Linked DNA regions of Alligator mississippiensis. Each later gene encodes a partner of the first gene's protein in a complex. Links are inferred from orthologs where the notes say so. Each region holds a gene or a part of one and is shown on either strand. Other genes may lie near its edges.

Region 1 (7,881 bases):
TAAGAACAATAACAACTTAGTCAAAAGAAACTTTTCCATAACAAATTCAAGAGATTAAACAGATCTAGATAACCCTCATTCCTGCCCCCTCCAGGATCCCATATTGCTCCACTCCTCTTTTGCTCCAAGGAGAAGCCCAGCAGGAATCTCCTTGAGAGCTGCCCTGGGTAGCAAGGATAAATCAGCCAGTCTCTACCACCTAATCAGCCACTGCATCAATCCTGTCACCTAGCAGCAAGGGTGACAGAACTGCCTGCAAACTGAGGACTTCTGCTGGTTGCCCCCTCCCCTTCCTTTCTGCTATGTGTGCTAGGGTGTTTTTAAGCCTTCCTCAGAGGCATTGAGTGTTGGCTACAGCCAAAGCTGGGGACTTTGACTGGGTTGTGCCAATGTTCCTGCTGGTTCCAAAGCCAGAGATTTCTGGGTAGTGGATTTTGCCCTTCTGCTCAGGGTCAGACCAATTGCCATGTTTGCAGCCAAGAAGGAATTTTACCCCATGGTCAGATTGGTGTGCATTGCAGGAGTTTTTGCCTTTCTCTGCAGTGGGGGGTGTGGTCCTCTACCCAGGACCTCTTGAGTGTATATTGAATCAACATTTTCTAGAAGCAGGATGACCACTATGGTTCCCTTGCTTTACCTGTAGCAGGTTAGGGTGTTAGGTTTGTGTTGTGTCAGGGTTGACTAGTTTTATGTAGAGTTTCACTTATGGTTTGTATGGGATGGTATAGTTTGGATTAGATTAGATGACCTCTGGTGATCCCCGCCAGCCCTACTTCTCTATGAGACTAATTATCACGCTAAAGGGCTGCTGTAGCTCAAGCACCAGCAACTTTAAACTGTAACCATATTCAGCAATCCCTTGCAGTCACGGATGGATGATTGTCTTCCATGATTGTCTTATCTGTGTGTCTGAAGATAGCTGATGAGGCCTATCTGAGATCAACAGAGTCTGCTGCACATGTGTTTCCATGTGGGGTGGGTGGCGCTGGATTCTTGATTTGGTCTGCGACACACTCTTTCTGCAGCTCTCACCTTAAAACCTCCTGTTGACTGTAAAGGTGCGGCTGCTTTAACCATTACTGCCAGCCCCGGCAAGAGCTGACTGGGTGGCAAAGACTGTTCAATCAGCCCTTACCCTTGCAGGTAGCTTCCATGCAGCCTCATCAGCAGGGATCCTGATTGTCTCTGATTAAAAAAAAAAAATCCCCAATTTCCAGTTAAAAAAAAAGGTATTCCTAAATCCACATGTTTCCGTGAGCAATGAAATGCCATTAAACTATATATTAGTGGTGTTTCATTTTCATCATGGAAAAATGTGGATTTGGGGTTACTTTTTTTAAACCAAAAATTTGGTATTGTTTTTTTAAATCGGAGAAAACCAGGATCCTTGCTCATCAGCTATTGTTCACTGACAAGCTCTCCAGGCATAGGGAGAGTAAGGAGCACCCCACTATTATGCCCTGACAGGAGAACATGCCTCTGTGGTGATTCTGTCAAACTCCAGCCAGGGAGCTGTGCATAACTATCTATTTTTTTTTGTAGTGCTACAAAAATAACATGCCTAAGGCAGTGCCAGGGCACCCTGAGGTGCCTTGTGATTTTCCAGGGTGCCTTGGGGTGCCATACAATGTCAGCACTGTTAGGCATGCCAACCTTTTCAGACTCAAAGCACCCTATGGAAAATGCCAGCCCTTAGTTTTCACTTATTTGTTGGTTACAGAAAAATAACAGAGCAACTTTTCTGCTGCAAAGAGCTCAGAAAGACCACAGTAGGTTAGAACACTTGTAACACTATGGATTCCTATCTGAAATCTTTGGATTTATCTTGTAATTTTCTCATGCCAAACTGTACTAATATTGTGTGGCACCTCACAGCACCCTTGAAAGGATGTCAAGGTACTCCAGGGTACCACATCCCCCTAGGTGAGAATCACTGCTCTAGGTGTTGGCTGCTAAGGAAATAAGCCCAAAGAAATAATAAGAATAAACAAAACGAAAGCCCATTCATTCCCACTGTGTGTATGTCACTCCTTAGAAATGAGACACTGATGGTTCCCTGGGGGGGCACCACAAGCCACTGCTCTTGAGTGTGTTGAAAATGCCCACTTGGGGTATGGTGTTGGGGATACCCCTCAGAACATGCTCACTCCCTTATTTCCAGAGTTGACACAAACAGTGGGAAAGCATGTGCAGGGAGTCTTAGTACATAGACGCTTGTGGAAATGGTGGTTTATAAAGCCAATTTCTTCCTACAAATACAAAGGAGAGGTCAGTATCCAAGCCTCTATCACTCCTTTGCACAGGTCCTACTAAGGTTTGGCTGCACGACTAAATGTGGGGTCATGCATGTTCTACTGAATCCATAGCAATAATCTCCTACTGTAGCAGAATCCAGTCACTTCCACTGCCAAAGATGTGGTCCCTATTTTCATGGCAAAAAGAGGCTTGCTCAGATAATAATGGTGGCTTTTGTTCTCCCAGAATATAAGATAAAAAGGTAAAATTTCCAATTGCATCTGACAGACTTGTTCTTATCTTAACCATCAAAAGCTGAATAAGTTCTTGCTGCTATACAGAAACAGTCGCAAACAAGTAAACACAATTTTAGTTTCTACTCCTGCTCCTACCCTAATCTGGTGGGGCTGTATCTCCCTCCCAGTTGTTCCTGTCCTCTCTTTTCCCTGAACAGGAGGCCCATCCCACCCTTCTTAACCCATCCCAGGAGTCAACACAGACCTCCCTGCTGTACTGCAGAACACCCCAAACACTTGCACCTCCTCCTACACTCGTCCCTTTATTCTGACTCTATCCCCAGTTCCTAGACTTTCTCTTCTGCCTACCTGCCAAGATTTTCTCTCTTCCTAACCAATTCATGAGGCAGAAGAGAAATAGGAAACTAGAAGCAGGAGGATTGTGTCAGCAAGGAAGATGAGCTGTTTGTCACAGAAATTAAATCACTTGGATTGGATGAGTGTCCAATAATTTTTTATGATAACTTTATGACTAATAAAAGCTCTAACATCTCTTCCAACTATGAAGTTGGTCCAATAAAAGGTCACTGTTCCTATACTGTAACCAGATTTCAAAGCAGAATTTTCATTCTGTCCAAAAATGCTAATTTAAAGCATATTCATAAATGGCACACAGATAGACTAGCTGGAAACTTGGGACACTTACACACATGCAAGGAGGCTTCTCCAATGCACTGTAAATCCTGCACATCAGAGCAGACCCAATTAATCGAGTCTGCTGGAGTGTGGAAATTAACATGGTCAAGCAGCCTCCAGAGTCACATGTATCAGCATCCCCAGACTGAAAAATGGTAGCAGGGCACTTTGAACTAAAGTTCATTGAGCAAGCTTTAATTCAAAGCACCCCGCCACCATTTTTTCAGTATGGGGATGCTGATACATGTGGCACTCGGGCACTTTTGATTAGCACAGCTTGCTAATTAAAGCACTTCCCTCCCTCCCTGACCACCTCCCAGAGCACGTGTATAAACACCCATGGATTTCTTTGATCCTGTTCTTCTTAATCATGATCCGGGATCCTGGTTTTCTCTGATTAAAGAAAAAAAAGGCCCCAATTTTTGGATTAAAAAAGAAACCCACAATCCACATTTTTTGGGTTACTTTTTTAAATCCCAAAACTGGCGCTTTTTTTTTATCAAAGAAAACCAAGATCCCTGACCATAATGCTGAAAGCTAGCAACAGAGTAAAAATTTCTCATTCCCTTCATGAATGTAGGTAATAGCCGTGTTGGTCTGAGGACATAGGCAGACAAGGGTCTTTGGGTAAATCTGATAACTTTTATTAAACCAACTCAAATAGTTGGAAAAATTCTTTGTAGCAAATTTTCAGGCACAACCACCCTTCATCAGGCTAAGGAAGCAATTTCCTCAGCCTGACAAAGGGTGTTTGTACCCAAAATCTTGCTAAGAATTTTTCCAACTATTTTAGTTGGTCTAATAAAAGATATCAGATTTACCCAAAGACCCTTGTCTGCCTCTTTCCCTTCATTACACTGACGTACACAGAGAATCCACTTTCGTTTATCCTAAAAAAGTAGAATCATAAAAGGAACTGCTTGCTATGGAATGCTTGTCTCCAAAGACAAATACAATCCTACCATTGCTGATATCTTAAGCAAATCTTTGCAAACTCTATTCTGAAGTTATTAGTCTTTGATACTTATTAATTCAAAGGAATGCTTGTTTTCCAGATAAAACTTTGGCTATGGATTAGACCACATTGAGCAAAACCACTGAAAAGATTAATGAAATTTCACTTTTTCTCCACTCACCTCTTCTATTCAATATTCCTTAAGATATTTGTAAATACCAATATATATTATATGACTCCTTAACTGCAAAAAGAACAGAGCAAAACAGGACTTGACCCTTTTTGTTAGTTAATTAGTGCCTCATAGTAGTGTCAGGCAGTAGTTTGGAGTTACAGTGGTGATGAAGTAGAAGAATATGTATGAACTGATATTGTTAAGCATCAACAATGCAATCCCATTGACTCCAATAAGCCTGAAGCTTGGAATTCTGCCAACTAAAGCTATTTTGTGCATAGCTTGAGTGGCTATGCACATAATACAATGTTATTCAAATTGAAGCCATTTATTGACACTAGTATTCCACGTTTAGGAATGTTAGGTAACTAATAAAAATGCATTGTAAAGTTCATAGTATTCAACCTGGTCTTTGCGCAATACGAGTAGGAGTTCTTCACAGTGGTCATCTTTGCTTGTTCACAAAAATGTGTTCAGGAATCGCAACATTTCCCCTTGTAAAAGGTTTCATTTTTCTCTGTGTAGTGATTCTCCACCCCTTCCTCTAGGTCAAAGCATTGAAAATAGAGATCTTTGGCTGCACTGTTCTTCCTGGAGTGTCAACAAGTTATTGGGACACCGGCATTTAGATTTCATCATGGTTTCCTGTCACTACAGAGTTTTGCTTCTCTACTTTTTGCTGCTGTTTCCTCTTTCTCTGGCTGCAGGTATGTCCTAGGAAACAGATGTACTGTTATTAACAATGAAATGTTCTTTTGTTAATCACATTATTTTCTTGTCAGGAGGTTTGAAACGTATATAAACATACCTCATGAATGTGGCTGTCTGCATGAGTACTCCAGTGCTCTTGTAGCTTCTGGGATGGGTGTCTACTCCTTAAATGTCAGTGGAAAAATTGCTTCTAGTTTCATCTGAAAATCAATTATTGAATTATACAGAAAGCAGAGAATCAATTAGCTGTCATTCAATCAGGGAGAAATTAGAAGAGTGACATTACAAATATGTAGCATAACATGAATGTGAATCAACAAGTTAGTTGCTGGCTTATCTGTAGTGCTAGTATATGCCTGGAAATCAGCAGCCAAGCAGCCAGAGGGGCACTAGTGAGATTAGACTATCCACTATCCCTTTTCAACTGATGTGGACAGGCAGTTTTGAAAAAATACAAAAAAGAAAAGGGAAGGTTTTCCCCTTTCGTAGGCACATGCATGAACACAGAAGGGGTGGGGAGGTCATTATATATGCATATGTATTTACTTTAATAAATGAATAAGTAGACATGGCATAAGAAAACAATTGCAAAATACTGAAAAATGACTTTTACTCTGAAAGAACAAAAAAGGACATGAACAGAAACAAAAGGTAACTGACATTCTCATAACAGTAAAGTTACTTCTCCAAATTGCTTTCACATATTTATTTTCTCTCGTAAATTCAATGACAGAACAGTGAAAATGACATCTAAATAGAATTTTAGGAACTAGACTAAATAAAGACTCTGTTAGAATTGTTATTTTGTAGATTTCCTAGGGGAAAAAAGTCTGTTTCAGCAAATGTTTATAGAAAAAATAATCATTGTCATTAAAGGACATGTCATGTGGCAGTAATCCTTTCTTTTTGTTTTATTCTGATTTTGTCTGTATGTGTATTAAAAAATATTAATGATATTAATGCTGATGTGATGGTTGGCAGGTAAACAGCATGAGCAGGGCACACTTCCCTACTCCCACCCCACCAGTAAGTTTCAACATTTCCTTGCACAGATCTTCGCAAAACAGAAAGAAAACCACTTTCTGACTGAAAGGTAGATCGCTTTCTTTAGGGAATCATACTGGAGAGGAAGAATATACTGAAAATAGTCCTTGATCAATCCCAGATCTCTGCTCAGCTGCTCAAAAGTGAAATAAGTAGCAGTGTTGACATTGAAATTATCACTACTCTTCAGAATTAACTCTTTAATATGTAGGAAGGTATTGTACACTAACTCAAAAAGATTGTACATTCTACTGCACAAAGTTATAGGAAAACAGTACTGCATTGGGCCAAAAATAATATAATTAATTATTATAACAAAATATTATCTTTCACTATAAATTATATGGGTATCGTGAATGATATAAAGACCATGAATTCTACATTAATATGATCATGAACTATAACAGTGGTATGAATTACTAGCCAATTGCCCATCAAGAATGACAGGGAGGGGGGGCAGGAACAGAGCACTGACACCCACCGTACCGCACTGCCGCCTAGTCCATCCCCACCGTTGCCCATCGTGACTGATGGGGGCGGGGGACGGACAAGGACGGAGCTCCGCCACTCAGCACCCCTCAGTGCCATCGCTCTGCTTCTGGCCCCATGCTCCCCCCACCCTGCATCTGGCCCTATGCACCAGAGTGGGGGGTGAGACCAGGACTGTGTCGCCAGCACCCCACGCTGCCGCCACCTCCTTGGAGGTGGTGGTGGCACGGGGTGCTGTTGTATGTGGCCATAAGGCTGGATCTGCCTCCGCCTTGTGTGCGCCCTCCCCCAGCCCCAACGTCCAGCCAGAAGTATTGCTAGGGCACACAAGTGTTTTCAGAAGAAATTAGAGAGAAATGTACTAAACCAGTGATCCTGAAATTTGGCTGCTCAGTAGCAATTCATGCTGCCACCACTCCCCCACTGCCAAATTTCCAAACACTGTGGGCCTCTTAGCATAGTCCTGGATACAGGGCTGCAGCAGAGGCCTAATCCAGTGTGTAGTGCTGGGACTGCGCACTGGATTGAGCACCAACTGTGGGCTCATGGACTAGATCTGGCCAGTGGACCAACCCTGCACCACTTATGCAGCCACAAGTTTGGTCACCACTATACTAAATTAGTGGTTTTTCAGTTATGGTCTATGGACAACTAATGGCTCACAGAAGCCTTCCTGCTGGTCCAAAGACTGGAAGATTTTGATTTAAAAAGGATGAGGCAATCACATATGGGGAGTCATGTTATATCTTCTATTAGAGAAGCTAACTGTATAGTTGAGTCAGATGTTAGACAAGCTTCAGATAAAGAGTGCCCTCAGGTCTCGCATTATAGATTTCATAGACATTAGGGCTGGAAGGGACTTTGGAAGATCATCAAGTCCAGCCCCCTGCCCCAGGGGCAGGAAGTCAGCTAGGGTCAAAGGATGTCCCTTTATCTTACCATGTGATATAATATGTGGAGTATAATTAAATTTATGCAAAGAGAAATCATATATTTGTGAGAGGAGCTGTATTTCCGTTCTCCAGCAGTATGGTAGTTCAGGTATCAGAACTAAAGGAAACCTTGTCCTACTTTTGACAAAATCTAGTGTGATGCTTGACACTCCTTCATGAGATACTGGAATGCAGCACTGTTAAAATTTTCTAAAGTTGTGGCCTGTGTAAATTGTGAGATCTGTCAATTGACCTCATATGTACATCATGGTGAAAAAACATCTCTGTCAGAGGTACTGCAAAGTTGCACAGTGAGAATATTCTAAACACTGTTACAAAAAGCCCCCAATTTTAAAATATACAAAACTCCTTTTAGCTGGAATCTTCCCGACTTTCCATGATTCTGAA
Region 2 (7,505 bases), on another chromosome or scaffold:
TTTCTGTTGGTAATTTTGTAGAATCTCCAGGAAAGGAACTGATCTGTAAGTAATCTGGGACTTGTTTATTCTTTGTATTTCAAAACTACTTAGTAATTCTGTCTTGAGTGCTAGTGTAATAGTGGCTTTCCATGAAACCTTTCTAACCATCCAAAATTTATATTTTTTATTTGTAATATTGGACATAGGCAGTGTTTAAGTAGCATTCATTTATCTTTATATTTCAACTGCTATTTGACAACAGTTGATCTGAGAGAGAGAGTTTAGGGTAAGTCCACACACTATATTTCTATAAGTATGAAGCAAGTTAGAAATTGTTTCTCTTCAACTATTCTTAATTTGATTATGCTGCAATTTATAGCACTAATTTCATACCACAAATTCATAAATTAATTTCCCACTAAAGTAGATCATTAAGGTATGGTAATAATGTTTAAGAAGTAGAGTAAATATCTGCAGATATATTCACAATATCAGCAAATATAGCATAATTCTTTCCTAGAAAACAAGAGATTAATGAAACTTTTGGACTTATTTATGAAAACTTTTTTCAGGTAGGTAAAGACATGCCAGCACTACAGATTTCTTCTAGCATAGCTATGTAATTTAGTGATAGGAAGAGAAGTCCTGACTGCCATATACTAGCAGTATAACTTGGTTGTTTGGAATAAACAATGCCAGGAAGAGAGCAGTATTTCTGGTATAAGCTGCATCCCCATTAGGGATTCTGGTATAAGCTGCATCCCCATTACTGGCAAAGCACTGATAATGCAGACAGTCTTTATCAGTATGATTACTCACACAAGTAAGTTCTATTCAACAAGAGGAAGGGTTACAGAATTAAGAGCTTTGAATGAAACATATGTGAAACTGAAATTGTATAGGTGAAGTATCAGTTCAGCCTTCCCAAGGGGACTATGCTTTATAGGAGAGAATTTAGCTGTTTCCGGTGTTCAAATAGCAAAGGTAAAAAATCTTTAATATCAATTCCGGTTATTCTAGAATTACTCCAAAAGTGTCACCATGGAATTATGCATGTTCTATAGCACCCTAAAATATCACAACACCCCAGCTTAAAGGTTACAAAATTCTGCAAAGAAAATAATCACAAAGCTGCATCTGCAAAAAGAAATCGAATCATTACTGGCATTAACGTATGAGTTTTTTATTTGTGTGTCAGTAGTTAGGTATGATTGGTCTGGATCAGGGCAGAGCAGGTGGGGCAGTACTCCCCCACACCATAGCCCCAGGTCCCCTGCCCTCCCCATCCTGATCCAGAAGCACATGCCCCCCCATGCCCTGCTGTCACTTGCCCAGCCAGGGCGGGGAGGGGAGCTGTGGGACAAAGCTGCTGCTTGTCCAGGAGGTGCAGGGTGGCCAGGGCAGCTCCCGTTGCTCTGCACCACTTGTCCGGAGGCAGTGCAATGGCTCTGCCCCATTCCAGCTGGGCGAGCAGCAGCAGGGCATAGCCCCCACTCCTAGTGCCTTCCACCATCCACCCAGCATGCAGCCCCAGCCCCACCCACCCCACACAGATTCAGGGGCACACACCCCACCCCCCTGCCATGCCCTCCCAGACTCGCTGCAGGAGCAGCGGTGAGAGCCACCGGATCAGCTGCCAGATGAGCAGCTCGCAGACCGGCGGTATGCAGCAGCAGGAACCATCCCACCGCCTCCCTGCATCCCCTGCCCCGACTGAGCAGCACTTGCCCCAACCCCTGTCCTAGCCCCAGCCCCAATCCCTCCCTCACTGCAAGGGTGTTGATCTGACTCCCCGTGACCCCTCCCTCACCCTCCCCACCACAACAGACTTACCAGCTGCACACACCTGTATCAAGTGTCATAAAGAAACCAATCTCCCTTTTATAACATTGTTCCTATGGGAAAATTGGTTCCAACTTATGTTTTGACCTAAGACACAGTTTTCAGGAACCAATTGCATAAGTCTGAGGACTGCCTGTATATGAATTGGGCCCCAAAGTCATGAGATTTGTGCAAAACAGAAAGATATTTTTAAATGGTATATATAAGATTCTTATTATTTGCCTTTTGAATCATTAGGTTATACATTTCAAAAGTGTGAGAGTAAGGAATGTACTTTTTAACTGAAAACTGAGATTCTCATGTAATCCTTTAACTTCAGATGCTGATAGCTTGGTAAAAACACTAACTCTTGCAGACGTGATAGAATTGTGGGAACTAGGAACTCTGTTGGAAACCAAAATGTGTTCTCTATGTCCAAAAAGCTAGGACACATACAACAGACCTAGTTCTAGGTGACCTTTTGTGTCAAGCTTGATAGAAGACAAAGGATGCCAAATTCTGCCCAGGCGTGGAGGTTTCCAGGGCTATAAGTCAGTACAGAGCTTGGCCGTGATAGGTGCCCACATATTTAGACACAGGGAAAAATGACAACTGTGAAATTATGAAATTACTACGCTAACTAAAGTAGCATACTATGCAGATTCCTACCATGATAGAAGAATTTGTAAGAAAGTACAGGTTTCCCTAGCTTTATGCTGTAGATGCATTCCTGGAAAATGGTGCATAACACTTTACAATGTAACAAATAGGGATATGTTCCAAGACCTGGACTATACTGACCCCCAGACCCATTTCTACCACTTTTACAAAACAATTTTGGTACTCTCCAACAGCAGACGGTACACACGAGCACAGGGCACTATCATAATGGGGATGGCAACTACAGAAACATATGTCACAGACGAGCCAGGAGCACAGAACCACACAGGAGACTATATTTTGGTGCACATCAGTGCCACAATGCACTGAACAAAGCAGCTGACTGCAGGCTTCCACCACACCAATCACATAAGAGTGAATTTACCTTGCATATGAATGAATTTTTGGTATAAAAAGTGTCATTGCATAAGAGTGAATTCACATATACAGTAAAGGAAACCTCAAAATCTTTTACTCAGAAGTATTTAATACAGGAGACAATCGAACCACACATAGGATAGGAGTTTAATACAAAGTTAAAAGAATAAAAATAGATAGTACTGTCACTGACAGAACTATCTTACAGTGGGGTAGTTATCTGTGATTAAATATACATGTCAATGCTGGCTGCAGGTATAAATTGTGCCTGGTCAACCCAGGCAGCAGGGGGCTAGACTCTTGCTTCCTGCCTAGCTACATGGCTCTGCACTTTCAGTACCCTTGTGCCCCAGCCAGCCCCTCCGCTGCCTGACACTGCCACCTGGAGCTAGCCCCCGCCCACCCTTGCACATGTAGATGCTGCACCAGGGAGTAGTTTACTCTGACTCAAAAAGCTTCAGAGTTTATTGTTTTGAATTAAACAACAAAGAAGGATTTTTTCACCTCCCTGGCTGCCTCTGACATTGGATACCTTCAGGGATGAAGACAGCCTAATCTGCACATCACAGAGCAACAGACTCATAAAAGGACTCTCAAATGCCCAGGGGAATACACTTCCAGCCTCTATTACCCATGTCCAAATTGGAGTTTATTTTCTACCTATGAGGACTTTTACAATCTTTCAATTTTCCTCAACCTGAAGAAGGGTGTCAGTGCCCAAAAGCTTGCAAAGAAATATTTTTTTTGCTACTACTGTACTTAGTTGGTCTAATAATAGATATTGCCTCTGACCCAAGAGCTTTGTGTATCCCTTGCACATGTAGATGCAGGCAGGAAGTCTGATAAGCAGGCTTTAGGGACAGAGAAGGCCTGAGTTCAGCAGCAAGCAGAACCTCCTGTGTGATTTTGTGCAAACTACTTGTCTCGGTTACTTGAATAAAAGTCATTACAAGTCCCTACTAACCTGGAGTAGAAACCCTGAAATACTTGAGAGAACTTCAAGCAGAGAGTTGCAGCCACTAGGGGCCAGGAAACATGCAAGGAGGAACAACTTCCTGGCCATCCCTTTATTGGAGCAAACGTATGGGAAGAGACAACAGTCTGGACACCAAGCGCCTTTCCCAGGCCCTAACAAAGGACACTCACTCTGCGCCTAGGGTCCGTCACATGATGTAAATGACATTAATGACTGACTATTCCGTGCTCGGGAAGGCAAATGTACATGACTATTACTTTTTAAAAACCTCCCGTATACATTGGATTCAACATTTAATATTGGGTTGAACGGATGCGCTATCACGTATTTCCCCGGTGACTCTCAGCAGTCTCCTGGAGATGATCTCTAACTCCTGGAGACTCCAGGGCAGTCCTGGAGGCGTGGCAGCCCCAAAGCGCCTCTATCCTCCTCCGCAGCTGGTCCCACCAGAGACATCACCAGCCCCAGGAGAAGAGCTGCGGGAGGGAGGGAGGGAGGCAGCGGCCGCGGGCCCTCGCGGAGCGAGCATCCCGGGGGGCGGCCGCTCCCCGCAGCCGGGGCAGGGCAGAGCCAGGCGCTTGCTCTCCCGCCGCCCTGCAGCGCCCCGCGCCCAGCCCAGCCCGCCCGAGCACCTGGGGTAAGACCGGCTCGTCCCGGCGCGTGAGTCACCTTGCGCCGCCCAGTCTGCCCGCGGACTTTCCCCCGGCGGCTATAAGGGCGGGCGCCTAGCGGCACCGCACACATGCTCTGCTCTGCTCTGCTCTGCTCTCCGCTCCGCGGGATGGTGCCCGGACGGACCCTGCTCCTGGGCGCGCTGCTGGCGCTGGCGGCGCCCGGCTCCGGTGAGTGCCCGCGCGGCGGCGGCGGCGGCGGCGGCGGCACCTGAGCCTCGGGGCGAGGCTGCCGCGGCGGAGGGGCTGGGGGATGCGTGGCGGACCGGGGCTACGGCTCGAGCAGGAGACAGCGCCCCGGTTTTCTTCCACCTGCCCGTCAGCTCCCCAGGGTCGCACCTGCTGAGCCCCTCGGTTGGACCAGGGACTGTCAAGCTGCGTTGCGAGGCCGGCGGGGTGCCCCCGGGCGCTGTGAGAGCCCGGCACGGTCCGCCTGGCGAATAGGATGCACAGGATGCCCCCAAGAGACTTCACATTCGAGTCCAGGGCTGTGGTCTTTTGGAGTGTTTTGCAACAGGAAAATTGCTGTCTGTCTTCCTGCGCGCAAAACAAGAGTGAAAACCAAGAGCTGGTGTCTTCCCGAGAGGGCCTCGAGTCCCTCCGGGGCGCCTGGCTGCCTGCTGGCCACCGAGCCGAGCTGCCATTGCCTGGGTCCTGTGTGGTGCAAGGGCAGAGTACAGGTGCTGGGGAGGAGGGAACTGGGTATGACCTGGGTTTTTGCACTGTTTCTCTCCCTTGTAGCTTGCAGCGTCTAATGTCTAGGAAGTTCTGATTCGGAGGCTGTGTCCCTCACTCCTGCTCTCAGTAGCTGCTGATGCCCCCATGGATTTGTCCTGTCTTTTGAATCTAAATACGCTGTCAGCTTTACCCAATGTCACTGAGCCCATTTTCTCTTCTCTCTTTTTAAAGGTAACTCAGAAGTGCCAACAGCAGTTAATATAACTTGGACATCAATCAATTTTAAAACACTACTAAAGTGGCTGCCAGAGCCGACCAACTATGCTTACACCGTAGAAATATTTGGGTAAGTAGAAATAATTGGAAATGTGTTTGTGCCAATGCATATTGACCCTCTTTTTAAGTTTATACATAAGCTTCTGTATAAACTTATAAAAGTAACTTGGAGAGAGTTCTAGCATTTTGCAAATGGATTTTTGTATTAATCAGCAACTCATTAAAAGTACTGGTAATAATTAGTCCTGTTGGGTAACATTCAAATCGCCTCTGTTCATCTAAATCTGTCTAGCCTTCCTTTGTCTCCTTCATGGTTTATAAAACAAATGTCACATACCGGATGAATAAAACCCAAGCTTGCAGAAGTGCCTAACATTTTTTTTGATTGTTACAATGTTCCACCTCAATATCTGTAGAATATTAAAACTTCTGTGAATTAGCTTAGGAAATGATGATTAAACATGTCCCAAAGAGAAACTGCATTATTGCTCTGTCTACAGCGTGGTGCCACTTATATTACTGTAACAATTTCTGGCAGGTTCAGTGCCTGTAACTGAGGGCTCAATATAATGAGCAATGAGAAAAATACCTAAGCAATAATTCAGTGACCTGACCTTGTCAGTGTGAGTCTGGGGCAATTGAATGACTTTGCCCAATCCATGACAGCATTTTGAAGGCAAACGTTTAAACAGAACTCCATAACGCAGCCAAACGGTGCAATCCTGCAAATGCTGATAGACACAGGCTTCCATATCATGTAGTATGATCCATGTAATTCCCATCAAGAGAGGTCCACTTAGTTAAATCAAATGGTTGCCTATAGTGTGGCATAGTAGTCGACTAGTGCAAATCACCGCGCAGGATCAGGACCATAGAGGTCAGCATTCTGCCTAATTAGGGCCATACTTCCAAAGGTATTTGTGTTCCTAGCTGCCTCTTTAGACACCTACTGTTCAGTAAGTTAGCCAAGTTGGTTTTCAGAAAACCCTAAATATCTGTTTGTACCTTTTACCTTTTAAAATTTGGTGCTGAGTCCATTTGATGTTGATTGGGCCTTTAGGGAATTCTATGTGCATGTAATATAACATGAATCATACAGGACCAAACTTTGCTAGTCTTAATCACGCAAATAGTTATATCTTAAGAAGGAGTCTGATTCACTTTTTTTTCTGGTTTAGTTTGAGCAGAGTCTAACAAAAGCTAGTTAATTTGCAAGTTGTACTATTTTAGTACTAAGCGTCTTATATGAATAGAAATGATCTTTTGGAGAGAACAATTAAATAATGTTACAAAAATTACTTAAATGTACTTGGAGGCAATGTGAACAGACTGGTATTAATTACTTCACTTTTTTTTTTTAGTGAAAAAATAGCTGTATGATGAGATCTGTAAATGGAAGTACTGTAGACTTCCACAGGCGCAGTAGTACACCCATGTGGATGCATTCACTAGTAGCAAAAGTACTGTACCTTGCTCTCAACCCCTAACAGCCTATTTTTGATACTGACACAACTATTACCTCTATCCCTCCATCCATCCCAAATGAGAAGTGCAAACAGTTTTGAGTCCTTTGCACTTTAATTTCATAAGTTACATGAGTACAATTTTCCTTCTGACTTAGTGTGACAAAACTGCTTTGTTTTCTTTCAGTCAATTGTTTATTTAATATAAAGAAGTTCTTACTCCTGTTATTGATGATGATGAATGGATTTTTAATGTTGCTTATACCATCTAGTGAAGACAAGCATAATTGCAGGATAAGAAATTTCTTCATGATGTCTGTCAGCAGGGCCTTTTTAAGCCTTTATTATTTTAGGGTATAGGATCTGAAAATGTGTTATTGCCTGTAAACATTTTCAGATTTCCATGCCATGTAATCTTACAAGTGACTTGAGAGTACATTTTGAAGATGTTCTGCCTTTTTATTATAGAATATCTTTTAAAGTCAGTCAGAATCTATTCAATGGTAATTTATTTTCAATTTGGATATAAAAATGTATGTCCACATTTAGGTATAAAGCCATATATTTCTCTAAACTGCATGTTTCTTTTTAGCAGAGAAG

The links. The genes of interacting proteins can lie anywhere in the genome.
Region 2: the proteins of F7 (region 1) and F3 are in contact, whole or in part, in a crystal structure (PDB 6R2W), measured with the Homo sapiens proteins. The link is inferred for Alligator mississippiensis from reciprocal best matches to the Homo sapiens genes F7 and F3. Residues at the interface, in NP_000122.1 of Homo sapiens: Leu73, Lys78, Phe91, Arg96, Leu99, Phe100, Ser103, Ser120, Lys122, Gln124, Leu125, Ile129, Cys130, Phe131, Cys132, Leu133, Pro134, Phe136, Glu137, Gly138, Arg139, Lys145, Gln148, Ile150, Val152, Asn153, Glu154; in NP_001984.1 of Homo sapiens: Thr49, Asn50, Lys52, Ile54, Glu56, Trp77, Lys78, Ser79, Lys80, Phe82, Tyr83, Glu88, Asp90, Asp93, Gly141, Gln142, Thr144, Glu162, Arg163, Thr164, Leu165, Arg167, Phe172, Tyr188, Trp190, Lys191, Ser192, Ser194, Ser195, Gly196.

What each region holds. Positions count from the first base shown.
Region 1 is NC_081824.1:351,926,842-351,934,722, reverse strand, and holds the start of F7 (coagulation factor VII), read left to right. Parts: upstream 1-4,873; 5' UTR 4,874-4,934; coding exon 4,935-5,004; intron 5,005-7,881. UniProt on the Homo sapiens protein: Initiates the extrinsic pathway of blood coagulation. Serine protease that circulates in the blood in a zymogen form. Factor VII is converted to factor VIIa by factor Xa, factor XIIa, factor IXa, or thrombin by minor proteolysis.
Region 2 is NC_081828.1:34,323,443-34,330,947, reverse strand, and holds the start of F3 (tissue factor), read left to right. Parts: upstream 1-4,460; 5' UTR 4,461-4,559; coding exon 4,560-4,659; intron 4,660-5,397; coding exon 5,398-5,512; intron 5,513-7,505. UniProt on the Homo sapiens protein: Initiates blood coagulation by forming a complex with circulating factor VII or VIIa. The [TF:VIIa] complex activates factors IX or X by specific limited proteolysis.